4 linked regions of the Danio rerio genome follow. The protein of the gene in region 1 purifies or fractionates together with the protein of each later gene. This does not show direct contact. Links are inferred from orthologs where the notes say so. Each region holds a gene or a part of one and is shown on either strand. Other genes may lie near its edges. The genes, in order: prpf4, gphnb, mepceb and ddx23.

What was found.
Region 2: the proteins of prpf4 (region 1) and gphnb purify together in Homo sapiens (affinity purification with mass spectrometry; 3 studies listed by BioGRID and IntAct, counting the BioPlex papers as one, with this or other methods). This does not show direct contact. The link is inferred for Danio rerio from reciprocal best matches to the Homo sapiens genes PRPF4 and GPHN.
Region 3: the proteins of prpf4 (region 1) and mepceb purify together in Homo sapiens (affinity purification with mass spectrometry; 4 studies listed by BioGRID and IntAct, with this or other methods). This does not show direct contact. The link is inferred for Danio rerio from reciprocal best matches to the Homo sapiens genes PRPF4 and MEPCE.
Region 4: the proteins of prpf4 (region 1) and ddx23 purify together in Homo sapiens (affinity purification with mass spectrometry; 4 studies listed by BioGRID and IntAct, counting the BioPlex papers as one, with this or other methods). This does not show direct contact. The link is inferred for Danio rerio from reciprocal best matches to the Homo sapiens genes PRPF4 and DDX23.

The regions. Positions count from the first base shown.
Region 1 is NC_133180.1:62,701,646-62,705,969, forward strand, and holds the start of prpf4 (U4/U6 small nuclear ribonucleoprotein Prp4), read left to right. Parts: upstream 1-1,500; 5' UTR 1,501-1,596; intron 1,597-1,826; 5' UTR 1,827-1,852; coding exon 1,853-2,015; intron 2,016-3,401; coding exon 3,402-3,588; intron 3,589-4,324. UniProt on the Homo sapiens protein: Plays a role in pre-mRNA splicing as component of the U4/U6-U5 tri-snRNP complex that is involved in spliceosome assembly, and as component of the precatalytic spliceosome (spliceosome B complex).
Region 2 is NC_133195.1:54,118,068-54,122,081, forward strand, and holds the start of gphnb (gephyrin b), read left to right. Parts: upstream 1-1,199; coding exon 1,200-1,263; intron 1,264-4,014. UniProt on the Homo sapiens protein: Microtubule-associated protein involved in membrane protein-cytoskeleton interactions. It is thought to anchor the inhibitory glycine receptor (GLYR) to subsynaptic microtubules.
Region 3 is NC_133198.1:47,985,408-47,989,649, forward strand, and holds the start of mepceb (7SK snRNA methylphosphate capping enzyme-like), read left to right. Parts: upstream 1-1,385; 5' UTR 1,386-1,875; intron 1,876-1,951; 5' UTR 1,952-1,961; coding exon 1,962-3,452; intron 3,453-4,242. UniProt on the Homo sapiens protein: S-adenosyl-L-methionine-dependent methyltransferase that adds a methylphosphate cap at the 5'-end of 7SK snRNA (7SK RNA), leading to stabilize it.
Region 4 is NC_133198.1:15,736,496-15,739,785, reverse strand, and holds part of ddx23 (probable ATP-dependent RNA helicase DDX23), read left to right. Parts: intron 1-1,063; coding exon 1,064-1,215; intron 1,216-1,329; coding exon 1,330-1,438; intron 1,439-2,136; coding exon 2,137-2,311; intron 2,312-3,290. UniProt on the Homo sapiens protein: Involved in pre-mRNA splicing and its phosphorylated form (by SRPK2) is required for spliceosomal B complex formation.

The sequences.
Region 1 (4,324 bases):
TGAAAACCAGGTGCTCCTCGGAAATGGCTTTCTTTGCTCTGCATCAGGTGCACAGCAGCAAGAAGCTTAGCAGTGAACTATGACCTTATTTTAATGACAAATGTCTAAGAATACTGCTTTATGTTTTTATTTAATTTATACATACGCAATGAATGTAAGCCTGCTAACTGTGTGTGGTTCAAATGATAGAATATGTAAACTTAGTTAATATATAATTAAATAATAACAATTAAAAGCCTGCGTGTAAGGCTTTTATTTTGAAGGTGACGTCACGAGCGCAGATTTGGTTGACCAATTAGAGGAAAGTGGGCGTTTCAGCACCGCCTACATGTGTAAAATGAATTTTAAAGTCGTTTATCCGTTTTCCTACCCTAAACCAAAAAACGAAAATCCAGCCAAAATCTCGTTTTTTCGTTTTCTCGTGAGCAACGTAAACGAAAACGTACACGGAGCTTTTAGGACTTGCATTCGAATATTTTGAGACTTTGGACTCAAAAACACTGATTAATAATGCACTACAGAAATTGGGTATAACTAGGCCCATACGAAATCTGTGCACACAGAATTTCCACAGATATTTTTGCCCATCATAAATTTATATTTAATCTGTTTCTAAGTTAATTTCAGTAATATTATTGACTAATATAAAACATATTTATATTATTTATTTACAATATAGTTTGTAAAGTAATATTTTCTGTCTTTTAGTAGATTTATTATATACAAGACTTGCTTTCTTTACAAAACAAAGTGTATCTAAATGAATGTGCATTGTAAACATTAAATACAAGTTAAAATATATTACTTTTTATTATATATAATAAATCTTTAGTTATGATGCTCACAAAAACATTCTGCATAAATCCGCAGATTTTTAAAAAATTCTCCGCAGAAATAGGAAAAAAACGTCTGCAGTTTCCGTCTGGTCCGAGGTAACTTTAGATGTAGCCACTCACTTTCTGATATAATTCCTTTTCTAAAAATTATATTTTTCTTGGTTTATTAGGGAAAGATGTTGATTTTCAATTTGTATTGAACAATTCTAATTTGGGGGAAATGTTATATTCATAAATGCAAGTGCCTTAAAAATAAACACTATTTTTAGTTTTCCAAAATGATATTTGGCTATACTGTAAATCTTTAAAGTTGATAAAATCAAAATGTGGAAGAAGATTGTTTAGTTTATTGGAAAAAAATCTAAATAATACAAGACACGGTGTACATGTTTTTTTCTTCTTTCTTTCTTTTAGTTGTGATTGTTCTATGGTTTAAGAGTATCATTTGTATTTATATTTTATAGATTTTTTATTTGATCTCTGTTCTAAATATGTAGATGATAGTTGTTATTCGATTTTTGCCTTATTGAAATTGTGTTATAATCAGGGTTATAATGCAAAAAGCAACAACTCTGTGACATAATTCCGACCGCTAGAAGTCACTATTTATTTCCATGACGGTAAAAGTCAAGAAGGCGGATATGACGACATACTGTGCGCCGAGTAGCCCGCGTCGTGTGGTCGTGTTTGTGGATTTTATCACAGCACTATCTTACAAAACAAGCTGCTTTTAAAGGAAGCTTCGTTTGTTTGGTAAAGGGTAAGGGATTAGTGAAGAGTTAATGTTTATCTTTTATGAGTTTGTCTTGGTTTCGGTAAAATTAGTCTTATTTTTTTGAACACCCTGCAAAATAATAATACTGTGGTACAGTGAAGTAACTTTGCGGATGTAACATGCATGCTGGGGCTTTCATAACTTACATAGATATTTACATTAGATGTCACTTACACTATTGGTCTCTGATGTTAATGCCTTTTTTTTTGGATTAGGTGTTGTTGGACAAATATCAGGAAAGATGTCAGATGAAGATGAAGCTCCAGTTGTGAAAAGGTCCAGGATCTTCTATGGAAGCCTTGAGGAAAAGGAGAAGGAGCGTCTCAGCCGTGAAGGGACATCCACCACTGCCAAAGATGCCGTTAAAGCTGGCATTGAGGCTGGACATATTAATATCTCCAGTGGTAAACTTGATATTTTTAAGCTCGGATGTTTCAATTAGCGCATCTTCGGGACATTTGGATCTTTTTGCTGTATTTTTTATTGATTGTTATTAAGGAAACACCAGACTGACCTGTGCATTGTTTAATTTAAAGATGAACTGGACTTTTTCATATATTTATTATCCGCATAAATCTGCATTTCTTTGCATTCAACTCTTTATTGATTGTTATAAAGTAAACTCCAGAATAATCTCTATATTGTTCAATTTAAAGATAAACAGTTACTGGACTTTTCAATATATTTATTATCACGTAATTTTAAATAAGTTACATTTCTCGAAACATGAGTTTTAAATGTGATGCATAATAAGATGTTTGTGAGGGTTATTTGTACTACACCTCATTGCAGCTTAAAGTTTGCCTCTTTAAGAAAAACTACAGATCTTGGCTTATAAAACTAAGCATTTAAATATCACTTTCAGTCATTTGGAGATAGTGTGACAGCTGATATCTGTGCTTCTTATGGAAGTAGTCTGCTGTATTATAAATATGTAATAGATTCAGCAGAGTTTCAAAACATCTTACTCTTTGGCCATATAAATAACATCATCAGTACTAAACTGAATATTTTTGCTCATTTTGGTCCTCAAAATATTTTTCCCTCCGTTGAGTATGATATTGTAATTATACCATCTTACATACAGTTTCTAAATTAATGACCCTCCAGATAAATTATGCTTTTTCAAAATTTCCCCAGGTAATTTTACAGTATTTCCTATAATATAGTTTTAAATTGTTTTTGAATAAAATGAAACGTTTTAATAAATAGTGCAACAATTTTTAAGGTCATTATTATTAGCATTCCCTTGATAAAAAATAGAAATAAATCTTTTCTTTCTTTAGCGCCACTTGTGAAATATAAAAAAAAAATGTAATTATCAAAAAGAATTATTGTTTGTTATTTAGCTATATATATATATATATATGTATATGTATGTATGTATGTATGTATGTATGTATGTATGTAGATAGATAGATAGATAGATAGATAGATTTATATACAAAAACTTAATCACATCAGTCATAGCAATTTTCATCCTCTATTATTTTTGTATGTATTTAGGGATAGTGCATAAAACACTTAATGTATACACAAAGACAATAAAAAACATTTAAAAAATGTTTTGTGGAAATCGTTTTGTTTTTATGTAGTAATAAAACATGAAAACAAATAGTGAAATAATGGGCGCACAAAAAATGGTTAACTGAACTAACTAGATGAGTAGTTTAATTGCACATCATCTCAAATGCAGTTTTAACAATGTGGTCTGTTATCAAAATGTCATTTTCATTTAAAATTCACAACTTTTACTTTGCTTTCTAATCATGTGATGTTTCTATCGTCAGGTGAGTCCATGGAGATGGAGGAGCGTGTGAGCGAGAGACAGGCTGAAGTGCTGGCAGAGTTTGAGCGCAGGAAGAGAGCCAGACAGATCACCGTCTCTACTGATGATGTAGAGGTGAAGGCCTGCCTTCGTGCACTTGGAGAACCAATCACATTGTTCGGGGAGGGGCCTGCAGAGAGACGAGAGAGGTCAGTGGCTGTAAAAGCATTGCATTTTGTTCTGGATTTAAAAACTGCTAATTTAAAGGGGTAGTTGCACAATAAGTGCAAAAGTAATTTTTTTTTCACTATTTCCTTTTTTATTTCATTTTTCTGCTGAACATAAAACAAGATTGTCTTAAGAATGTTAGGGAAAAAGCAGTCATCGCACCAAAACTAATTACAATGTAAGTGAATTATAACAGAGCAAACTTTTCTGTAGTTGTAGTAGTGCTGTGCGTTATTTGTTTAAACCTTTAAGGTTAGCTTACATGCTGGCTGACTGGCAGGGCTGCGTGAGGTTAGCAAACATGATGTAGCTTTCATTTTCAGTTATAAGGAGCACAGTTTCCATAATTATACTTCTAGAAAAAGGTCTGTGGTTCTGCATACAATGACTTTATCTTGCTGAAGTTTATGGCTGTTTCACCTTACTTTAGGACGCATTAATGCTGCTCTGTAGGTCTGTTGGAGACTTTCATAAATATTCCTAGCAGATCTAGTAAATGTTGGAGATACTTGTTACATAAACGCACTAAATCGCACTTCAACAGGGTTTATTTGAGAGTGCACAAGAAAATCTGTGCTTGAGCAGCATATATTTGAGGGTGTGCAAGAAGTTTTTGTGCACAAACAGCATATCTGCGACCAAGCAAAGAGATTTGCATGCTCGTATTACATTAATGCGATCTGAACTTGAAATACTGGGCTTACGATATTTGTCATT
Region 2 (4,014 bases), on another chromosome or scaffold:
CTATTCTGCCGCCTAGGTCGCCTCTATGCACGTGCCGTCCCTGAACACACGTCGGCCACAACAGAACATTAAAAAAACTGCAATTGCGTCATTTGCGTTATTTTTTTAACGCATTAAATATTTCAAATTAATCACATGTGTTAACGCGCTAATTTTGACAGCTCTAATATATATATATATATATATATATATATATATATATATATATATATATATATTCATTCATTTTCTTGTCTTGTTTTTTTATTCTGAAGTCGCCACAGCGGAATGAACCGCCAACTTATCCATCATGTTTTTACAGAGCGCTTCCAGCCGCAACCCATCACTGGGAAACATCAATACACACTCATTCAATCACACACTCCTACACTACAGTCAATTTTATCCTATCCAATTCTTTGGACTGTGGGCAAAACCGGAGCACCCAGAGGAAACCCACATGAACGCGGGGAGAACATGCAAACTCCACACAGAAATGGCAACTGACCCAGCCGAGGCTTGAACCAGCGACCTTCTTACTGTGAGGCGAACGTGCTACCCACTGCACCCCTCATGTCGCCCCATATATATATATATATATATATATATATGTGTGTGTGTGTGTTTTAAACACCAGATGCCCTTCCAGCCACAACCCAGTACTGGGAAACACTCATACACACTTATTCACACACACTCATACACTACAGCCTAATTAGTTTACCCAATACCCCTATAGCGCATGTGTTTGGACTGTGGGGGGAAACCGGAGCACCCGGAGGAAATCCACACCAACACAGGGAGAACATGCAAACTCCACAGAAATGACAACTGGCTCAGCCTGGGCTCGAACCAGTGACCTTCTTGCTGTGAGGTGAATGTGCTACCCACTGCGCCACAGTGTCGCTTTTATCAGTGTTTTATTTGTGTTGTGTTGTTTTATTTGTAGTTGGGTTTTATTTATTTTTTATTTAATTATATTTGTGTTTTATTTTAATTTGTGTTTTTTTTTTGTATTTATGTTGTATTTTATTTTTGTTTTATTATTATTATTATTATTTAGTATTTTATTTTTAAGTTTTGTCTATTTCCCCAGTGAGCGCTGAATCTGGGTTCTGCTGCTCTGGCCTGCGCGCTTCCCTCTCTCCCCCTCCAGAGTTCGATGCGCTCGGCTCTCGGCTCTGCCTGGAGTTCTCAGTGCGGCGACAGCGGTGCTGAATATGGCGTCAGACGGGATGATTTTAACAAACCACGACCACCAAATCCGGGTCGGCGTCCTGACAGGTAAAGGCCAAAACCCTTCAAATCATCGTGCGGTTTCTTTCGGGGAAAAGCACTTGCGGTTTTCCAGCTGTTTGCCAGCGGAGCCTCTCCTCCCCAAGCGTGTGTGTGCGTGCATGTGTGTGTGTGTGGCATGTGTGTGTGTGTTTGTGTGTTACTCTGCTGGTCAGCGGTGATTTAAAGCCCTTTTCTCTTCCAGAGATTCATTTACCGGCCAAACGACTAAACAATCCCTCTTCTAGCTTATATGCATGCGTGACAGTGTTTTGAAATCTCACGAGAGGATGGAGTTTTATCTGCTCAATTCTTCATTTTCTCCTTTAAATGAGCGCATTCTCCACATTTGCTTCAGTGAATGCTGTATTATTTGTGAAGTACCTGCAGTCATCTGGTGTGATCGGTGCTGAAGATGTGATTTACTGTCAGAGACGGTGGATGCAGTGGGCTGATATTAGTGAGGACGGCTGTGAATCGTGGGCTGAATGCTGGTTTCCTCTCTGCATGACAGCCTTGTTAATGCAAACATGCCTTCGCCGGTGATTTCCATCCGTGCTTCATGTTTTGCCAGTGGTGACGAGTGAAACGCTCGAGCGAAGGCTGTGCAGTTTGCGATTTAATTTCATTGCTGTGTAATAATAATTAAATAAATCAATCAATCAAATGCATGCACTGAACGATAGCATTTAAGGCTTGAAATCTCTTGCATTAGCAGGATAATGCAGCTTTGGGAAAAGAGGAAAAAAACGCGGAGGCCGCGGATTTTCGTGCGATGTGATTGGTGATAACCCTCTGATGGAAATCCGCTAGTGAAGGTGGTAATGTGCAGAGAAGGAGAGGCAGAGGAGCTCCATCCAGCTCTTAGGGAAACCCCGCTTCACCTCCCCCCTCCTCACTGCTGTAGAGCGGGGAAACCAGCAGCAAAAGCGGCGGTGCCTCGGAAATGCAGCGGCCGCTTGATAAGCGCTGTCCATGGTGCTGAAATACGCCGGTCACTGCTTGTGCGCTGTCCGCGGTGCTGAAGTACATTTGCAGCTGGATTGTGCGCGGATTTAACATTCTTCGGCCGCTGGATTTGCACTTTCCGCGGTGCATAAATACCGCGGTGCTGAATTTCAGCTAGCGCTGTACATATACTGCTGAAATGCACCCGACGGTCACTCGAGTATTTCCTTACATGTTCTCCTCTGTCATTTAGCCGATGCTTTTAGCTAGCTAAAGGGAGGACGTGTCCCTGCAGTGTTCAGATTAGTGGTCAAGGATATGGGTTTGATGCATGACTACAGTCCAGTACAATAGGACCCCAAATGTAATTACAGCCTTGCTTTTATCAATGCATTCATTACAGGAAAAGTCCCATGGGAGAAACCTGAGCATATTTGTTCTGCATCAAATCTCAGTGTGCTTGAACATACAATAGCCGGATATTTAACTACTAAAGGGAATTCACAGGGTTTATATCTTTTCCAAAGTTTGAACACAACCATTTTGTTACCAGGACATAGTTAATTAATTTTCAATGAAAACACGGCTGCTGGCGTATTGACCTGCATTGTTCTGAACACATTTATCACAGCGTTTATCACAGTTATTCAAAAGCTACAGTGTAATGTGAGATTAACAGCGGTGCTGAAATACAGCGGCCGCACGATGAGTGCTTTTGCAGTGCTGAAATGCAGCAGTTCTCACAGAGTGCTCTCCGTGGTGCTGACGTTTGGCTAACTCTTTACATATAGTGTGAAATACAGGTGTCGGTCACTCGAGTATTTCCTTACATGTTCTTCTCTGTCATTTAGCCGATGCTTTTAGCTAGCTAGAGGGAGCACGTGTCCCTGCAGTGTTCAGATTAGTGGTCAAGGATATGGGTTTGATGCATATGCACAGTCCAGTACAATAGGACCCCAAATGTAATTACAGCCTTGCTTTTATCAGTGCATTTATAACAGGGTAAGTCCCATGGGAGAAACCTGAACACATTTGTTCTGCATCAAATGCATCAAACCTCAGTGTGCTTGATCCTACAACAGCCTGATATTTAACTACTAGAGGAAATGTATAGGTGGTATAGTTTGGACACATAACCATTTTGTTACCAGGGCATAGTTAATTGATTGTCAAAGCAAACAAGGGTGCTAGTGTATTGACCTGCATTGTTTTGAACTCATTTCATTCACAGAATGCTTTTATTGCAGTATTTATTACAGTTTTACAAACACTACTGTCAAATTTAAGGGTTAACCACAGTGCTGAAATACAGCGGCCGCACAATGTACGCTGTCCATGGTGCTAAATTTGGGTTAACACTATACATATAGTGCTGATGGGCCAGAGTCACTTGGGTATTTCCTTACATCAGGGGTCACCAATCTCATTCCTGGAGGGCCGGTGTCCCTGCAGGGTTTAGCTTCAACTTCCCTCAACCACCTGCCTGGGTGTTTCAAGTATACCTAGTAAGACCTTGATTAGCTTGTTCAGGTGTGTTTGATTAGGGTTGGAGCTAAAATCTGCAGGACACCGGCCCTCCAGGAACAAGTTTGGTGATCCCTGCCTTACATGTTCTCCTCTGTCATTTAGCCTATGCTTTTAGCTCGCTAGAGGGAGGACGTGTCCCTGCAGTGTTCAGATTAGTTGTCAAGGATATGGGTTTGATGCATATGTACAGTACAGTACAATAGGACCCTAAATGAGATTACAGCCTTGCTTTTATCAGTGCATTTATTACAGGGAAAGTCCAATGGGAGAAGCCTGAGCATATTT
Region 3 (4,242 bases), on another chromosome or scaffold:
TGTTCAGAGATGCTCTTCTGCAGAGCTCGGTTGTAACGAGTGCTTATTTGAGTTACTGTTGCCTTTCTATCAGCTGGAACCAGTCTGGCCATTCTCCTCTGGCATCAACAAGGCATTGTTGGCACATGCTGCCTTGTGATTGGCTGATTAGAAATTTGCGTTAACGAGCAGTTGGACAGGTGTACCTAATAAAGTGGCCGGTGAGTGTATATGTAGGGGAGAAGTCAAAAATACATTGAATTAGTCAAAATTATTTTTTATTCTATGCCAAAAATCATTAGTATAAGTGATCATCATCATACATCGAGACGTTTTATACATGTCTATATTGTAAATATATCAAAACTCATTTTTTGAATAGTAAAATACATTGCTAAGACCCTAATTTGGACAACTTTAAAGGTGATTTTCTCAGTGTATAATACCATTATCTACCTTCAAATTTCAGAATAGTCATTTTAATTTATTCATATGTTATCAAAAATAGTTCATTTTGGCATTAAAAAAGACATACCTAGGGGAATGCTTATTTATTCAGCTTATTTTTCTAAAACTCAACACTTATGACTTGTTTTGTGTTCCAGGGTCACATATATGACACTCTTATTGTAATATATTTCTATACCTTTAGTTAGCTATCTCTTCTTCTCTCTTGTCTGTAAATAAGCTAAATGTGTGTAATTTAGGCCATTTACACCAGTCCTGCCAAACAAAAATAATGATTTAATAATGCATACACTGAATCCACTGACTCAAGTGGGTTTTCTTTCACAATAATCAAAATAATGAATCATATTATGCTGTTATTTTCTTGTTTTTGGCAACAGGTTCAGATCAAAAGGACTACATCTCCCAGAAGTCTCCTCCTCCTGCAGCAGAGTGGGAGGGTCTCTTTAAAACTCGCAGAGGCGCTAATTCCATACGATATAAAATGCTAATATGACATAAGTCATGTTTTATTAGTTATCCGATCATTAGTCGTTGTTATAAGCGTAAATTCAGCGCGGAAGAACTCTCACAGGGGTTGTTTACACATGTGACGACTGCCTGTTTCGAGTTCCCGAACGTTCTCCAAAGCAGAATTATGGGATTCTGCTCAAACACATACTCTTGTTAAATAAACAAATGCATTTTGTCGTCAATTTGTTATATTTTACTGATTTTGACGATAATATTTAGTGTCTAACGGGTCAATTCAGGCAGTCCGCTGGATACCTATTAAAAGAGGAGGGGCGGTGACTGCGAGCACATGCCTTCATTTAAAGCTCCGCCATTGGTTGTTCGAGGGGCCTTAACGTATATCGCGCTTTCTGATTGGCAGACGCGACTGTCCGTCAGGCTTGGTCTGTGGTGGAATATATAAGCGCGCTGGTCTGCTGTGCCACAGGGCGAGATGGAGCACTGCGAGTTCAAGCGCTCATGAACATTCGACAGATCAAAGTCTATTTTTAATCAGCACCATTTTAGCAAAGTGTTTTTCATATCTGCAGTAGCGCGAGTCAAGTGCAGCTGTGTGTTTACGTAGCTCTAATGAGCGCGGGTCTGTGTACATAGTGTGTCGTGTGCGCTGTTTTTGTTTGATTTTTGGCGTTCGTGTTTACTCTCAGCGCGAGAGAGCCGGAGAAAATATCTCGCTCAGTACTGTGTGTGTGTGTCTGTGTTAACGGACGTGTGCGTTTGTGTCGGAAAGGGGGGGAGCTTTCGAGAGTCGCGTTTCCGTTGCATTATTCATGAGCGTCGCGGTAGCCCCGCCCATAGGCGGAGTTAGTTAAATTAACGCGCCGTGGAGCTGTTAGATGAGCCAAATGTAACACGTGGGTCACAAGCACATCAGTGCCCATAAAACAATACAGAAAGCAGGCTCAGAGTAGTCAAGTAAGTACTCATCTGCAAGCGTCACACATTTATATCTTGTATATTGTACTTGAATGGTGTGTTTCTGTGTTTCCAGCGGCTGATGGATGTCTACTGTGATGTCAGTGCAAAGTGAGCTTCCTATTGCTGGTGGGGCAGCAGGTTTACTGGCCCACCCGCCGTCCCCACTGCAGACCATTAAAGATGAGGTGACCGCTAACATTGTGCTAACCGAACTCGCAGCCAATCACGTGACCCCACAGGATGGGGTTACCGCCGAGGGGCCCTTTCAGATTAAAAATGGCCTACAAACTCGAACTGAAGTGCAGACGCAGAAACTGGCGCAGAAGCGGCGCTACAGTATGAACGTGGCGTTCAAACATCCGAGTCTCGGTAAGCGAAGACGCCGCGCCAATTCTGAATGCGATCCTGTGCTTCCTACTAACTTCCTGCTGGGCGGGAATATATTTGATCCGTTAAACCTCAACAGCCTATTGGACGAGGAGGTCAGTAAAGCGCTTAATGCCGAAACGCCCAAATCATCGCCACTCCCCTCTAAAAACCGAGACCCGGTGGAGATTCTCATCCCGAAAGATATTACAGACCCGCTGAATTTAAGCGGCAGGGGCGGAGATTCGGCTGCCGGTGTGTTGGTTTCTCCAATGAAGATCAGACGCAGACACCGCAACCGCCATCATCCTGGAGCGACCACAGGCGTTGCCGACCAATCAGATTGTGAGAAGTCAAAAACCAATGAAACGACATTATTTCCTGTAGCTAATCCTGAAGAGGCTGCGAACAGTGCCGTTCTTCCGCCTGTCGAGGAGTCGCCGCGTCCGTATGAGCTCAACACCTCGATTAATTGCCGCGATGAAGTGGTGCAACCTATTCTGCCACGGCGTAAGTCACACCCCTCTGCGTCTAGCTCCGCCCCTCAATTACTCTCTAGGTCCGCCTCTGCGCCCCATCCGTCCAAACATCGGAAGCGCAGACGAACTGTCAGTCGCTCGGACTCTCGCCTGTCAATCACACCAACTCCGCCCACCAAGCGGCTAATCACACACACTCAAACCTTTCACACTCCAGTTATAGGCGGAGCCAGCGGAGCTCCTCCCTTGGGGGCGGAGCGAAGCCATGAACAGCAGCGCAGGCCGCGGCGCAAATACCATAATGGAGCCTACAGCCGTTACTATGGCTACCGCACACCATCGATGACCGACGACCCACGATTGGCTCTTTTTAATCCCGAATGGTTCTCTGGAAAAAAAGTTCTAGATGTGGGCTGTAACACGGGTCATGTGACCCTTGCCATCGCCAAACACTGCAGCCCCGCCCACATCCTGGGCTTGGACATTGATGGCGCGCTGGTGCAAGCCGCCCGCCAGAACCTGCGCCATTTCCTGTCGGAGCTGCAGGACAGGCAGCAGGCGGGAGCAGGTGAGGGGTCAGAGGTCACGGGGCTGGTGCCGCTGATGGACCTGCAGCTGGTGTTACCCAGGTTTCCTGTCTCCTTCATGCGCTGCCGCGGACCCATCGCCGCTCCTCCCATAATGCATCAGTCTCCAGGCCAGTTCCCCAGCAACGTCTGCTTCCTGAAGGTACACTAACATAGCTGAAGCAGCAGATCTTCCTGACGTGTGTGTGTGTGTGTGTGTGTGTGTGTGTGTGTGTGTGTGTGTGTGTGTGTGTGTGTGTGTGTGTGTGTGTGTGTTATTGGATGTATAATTAATGTTTGGATTTTGCACACACAAACATCTGTCTGTATTTCTATATATGGAATCTATCTATCTATCTATCTATCTATCTATCTATCTATCTATCTATCTATCTATTCATCCATTCATCTATCTATCTATCTATCTATCTATCTATCTATCTATCTATCTATCTATCTATCTATCTATTCATCCATTCATCTATTTATCTATCTATTCATCCATTCATCTATTTATCTATCTATCCATCCATCCATTCATCTATCTATCTATCTATCTATTCATCTATCTATCTATTCATCCATTTATCTATCTATCTATCTATCTATCTATCTATCTATCTATCTATCTATCTATCTATCTATCTATCTATCTATCTATTCATCCATTCATCTATTTATCTATCTATCCATCCATCCATTCATCTATCTATCTATTCATCTATCTATCTATTCATCCATTCATCTATCTATCTATTCATCTATCTATCTATTCATCCATTCATCTATCTATCTATCTATCTATCTATCTATCTATCTAACTCTATTCATCTATCTATCTATCTATCTATCTATCTATCTATCTATCTATTCATCCATTCATCTATCTATCTATCTATCTATCTATCTATCTATCTATCTATCTATCTATCTATCTATCTATCTATCTATCT
Region 4 (3,290 bases), on another chromosome or scaffold:
CACATCCCAAAGGTGCTCAATTTGATTGAGTTCTGGTGACTGTGGAGGCCATTTGAGTACACTAAACTCATTTTCATGTTCAAGAAGCCAGTTTGAGATGATTTGCGCTTTATGACATGGTGTGATATCTTGCTGGAACTAGCCATCAGAAGATTGGTACACTGTGATCATAAAGGGATGGATATGGTTAGCAACAATACTCGTGCTGTGACATTGACACGATACTCAATATGTACTAATGTGCCCAAAGTGTGCCAAGAAATTAGCTAGACACTATGTTCTTAAAGGGATGGGCATGGTCAGCAACAATATTCTGAGGTAGGCGGAGGCGTTTACACTATACTCAATTGGTACTAATGGGCCAAAACTGTGCCAAGAAAATATCCCCCACACTATTACACCACCACCAGCAACCTGAACCGTTGATATAAGACAGGATAGACCTTACATAATTACTGTATTTATATAGAGTTTTTATGATTTATGATAATCTTTTTGTCATCAAAAACAGAATAATTTTACTTATTTAGGGAAAAAGTCAGTGTAATTTAATGTAAACTTCTTTCTCCCGAAGTTGAAAACAAAAAAATACTTTTACTATTTTAAATATGTAAATAATTCTTTAGATATTTGGACTGAAAACGAGACAAAGCAAAGTAAGAAAAGCTTTTTTTGCATTGTGTTTATTTAATTTCTCTACCTAAATACTGTAACGACTCCCCTGAGGTCCATCAAATAGAGCTATTAAACTATCTTGAGAAACCGTAATAAAATATCAATGTTTATTGCAGAAATTGTAAAAATTCCCTAGTTCAAAGTCACTCAACTCCTATTTATTCCAAGTTCCGATGCTTGAGCAGATCATCTTGACCACGTCTACATGGCTAAATGCATTGAGTTGCTGCTATTTGATTGGCTAATTAGAAATTTTGATTAAAATAAATTGTCTACTAAGTGTAATAAATTCGCAAGCGTCCTTTCTGTTGCTTTCTTTTATGTTTCATTTTCCTAAATGTCTTTGTATTGCATGAGATTGTATCATATTATATCTCTTGTGTTTCAGACGGTCATGTTTACGGCTACTATGCCTCCTGCAGTGGAGCGTCTGGCCAGAAGTTACCTCCGTCGGCCGGCGGTGGTGTACATCGGCTCTGCAGGCAAACCCCACGAGAGGGTGGAGCAGAAGGTCATCCTCATGTCCGAGGGTGAAAAGAGGTCAGAACACGTTAACCCATCATTTGTCGAAATGAGTAGTTTTTATTCAAGCGCACTTTGTCCAAAAAATGTTCTTCAGTTTTTAATTGACAAATGTTTTCTTGTGGCGAACAGGAAGAAGCTTCTGGAAGTTTTGGCAAGTGGCTTCGAGCCGCCCATCATCATCTTCGTTAACCAAAAGAAGGGTTGCGATGTGCTTGCTAAATCTCTGGAGAAGATGGGAGTGAGTACACTGTGTTAAGTGCTGTCTGTAATGCTTTACAGGAGTAAATTCTTAAAATTTGTTGTTTTGCTTCTTGATTCTGATTGGTGGAGCTGCAATTGAAGTTGCTGTAACATACTTTACACACATAGAGCTGTAATTGTTGAAATGAATGTTGAATTTGAATGTATAATTGTGAAATGAAGACATGGTTTACATTGAATGTGTAACAGCTTGGCAGTTTTAGGCACTCTGCTTCACAACATGCCCAACAACATTCCTTAGATGTTATAAACTTACTGTAAACCGTGGCTTCGAAATGCTTATTGGTGATGAAGGGGTGGGACCCATGATCTGGAAACAGAGCTTACCGCTACCTAGGCAGTTTTTTGGGACACCATAGCAGCATTTTTTTTATGTCAAGATGGCAAAAAATGCTATCTTCCTAGGCGCATAATGTTTAAAAAGCCAACCAATCTGATTTTGATATTAAAGATGTACATAATAATAGCAAACAGCCATATTTAGACAGACTTGGTAAGCAAATCTATGAGAGCTGCAAATTCAGGAAGAAAATGGACATCTGCCTGTTATAGCTCAACGTAGATCGTGAAGCATTACTAAATAAAATACAACTTTTTTAAAAGAGATTTTATGACATACTGACCTGCTGGTAATTAATCAGTGACTCAATCTTTCTTTTTTCCCCTCTTCTGCAGTACAATGCTTGCACACTTCACGGTGGTAAAGGTCAGGAACAGAGAGAGTTCGCTCTTTCCAACCTGAAGGCCGGAGCCAAAGACATCCTGGTGGCCACAGATGTGGCAGGCAGAGGAATCGACATTCAGGACGTCTCGATGGTCTTAAACTACGACATGGCCAAGAACATCGAGGGTGAGTTTAACATCATCTCTGCCACTTTTTTCATAAAGCAGAACTCGTGGTCATATTTTCTCATCAATTTGACCGTAGGACTGGGTGATGCTATGATAATGGTAATTATTGCAATATTTTTTTTAACTGTTTCAATTGAATGTGAACAATGAGGAAGGTCCTACATGACTGAAACGTTTGTATGACTCTTGTTGGTTTTTATTGGACACATCAAGTATATTATCCATTTCATTAATTTAGTTTTTGTTTATTTATTTTTTTGCTCTTCATTGGATTCTGTTATTGACAATGGTCTTGCATGTGAAATAAATAAAGCGCAATATCCTCTTTTTTCTATTTTAAGCATTAAACAGAACTTTTCATCCATATTTTAAACTGGGGTTAATGATGAAATTTTGATAATTATGAAAATATAATTTTTCTTTGTTTAAAAAAAAAAAGTTGAAAACTATACTGTCATTCTAATGTAGTACTAAGGAAACTTTGCAGCAGATGCAATGATATTAAGCACTGCCTGAAAATTAACTAACTTCCATATTCCAGTTCAAATAGCTACGGTTCAGGATTAGGGATGCAACGATTAACTGATTTCACTACTAACAGTGCTTTAATTCGTCTCAGTTAATTAATTGTAAAAGCTTCACAACATCGCGTTTCTGTTGCACGCAAAGAACTGGTGCAACTAAACAAAGCTATGCTAACTGGACTCATGGCACCTGGCTTGTGCGTAGTCATGCATTCATACCTTTGCGTGCTGTTTGTGTTGCTTTGCAACAACACTTCTGAAACGCTAGCTGGCAGTAGGTTTTTATGTTCCTCTGTGTCGAGTTTCTTCACAGGTGTTTTGTTTTTTCTGAACGCTACAAGTAGTTAAAACTTGCTCATTTAGAGGCAGGAACCAACAGAAGTGCAACAACTTTAATTGTAAATTAAACAGAAAAGAAAAGTTTGCATCTGGAGCTCTTCCACGGGACTCGGC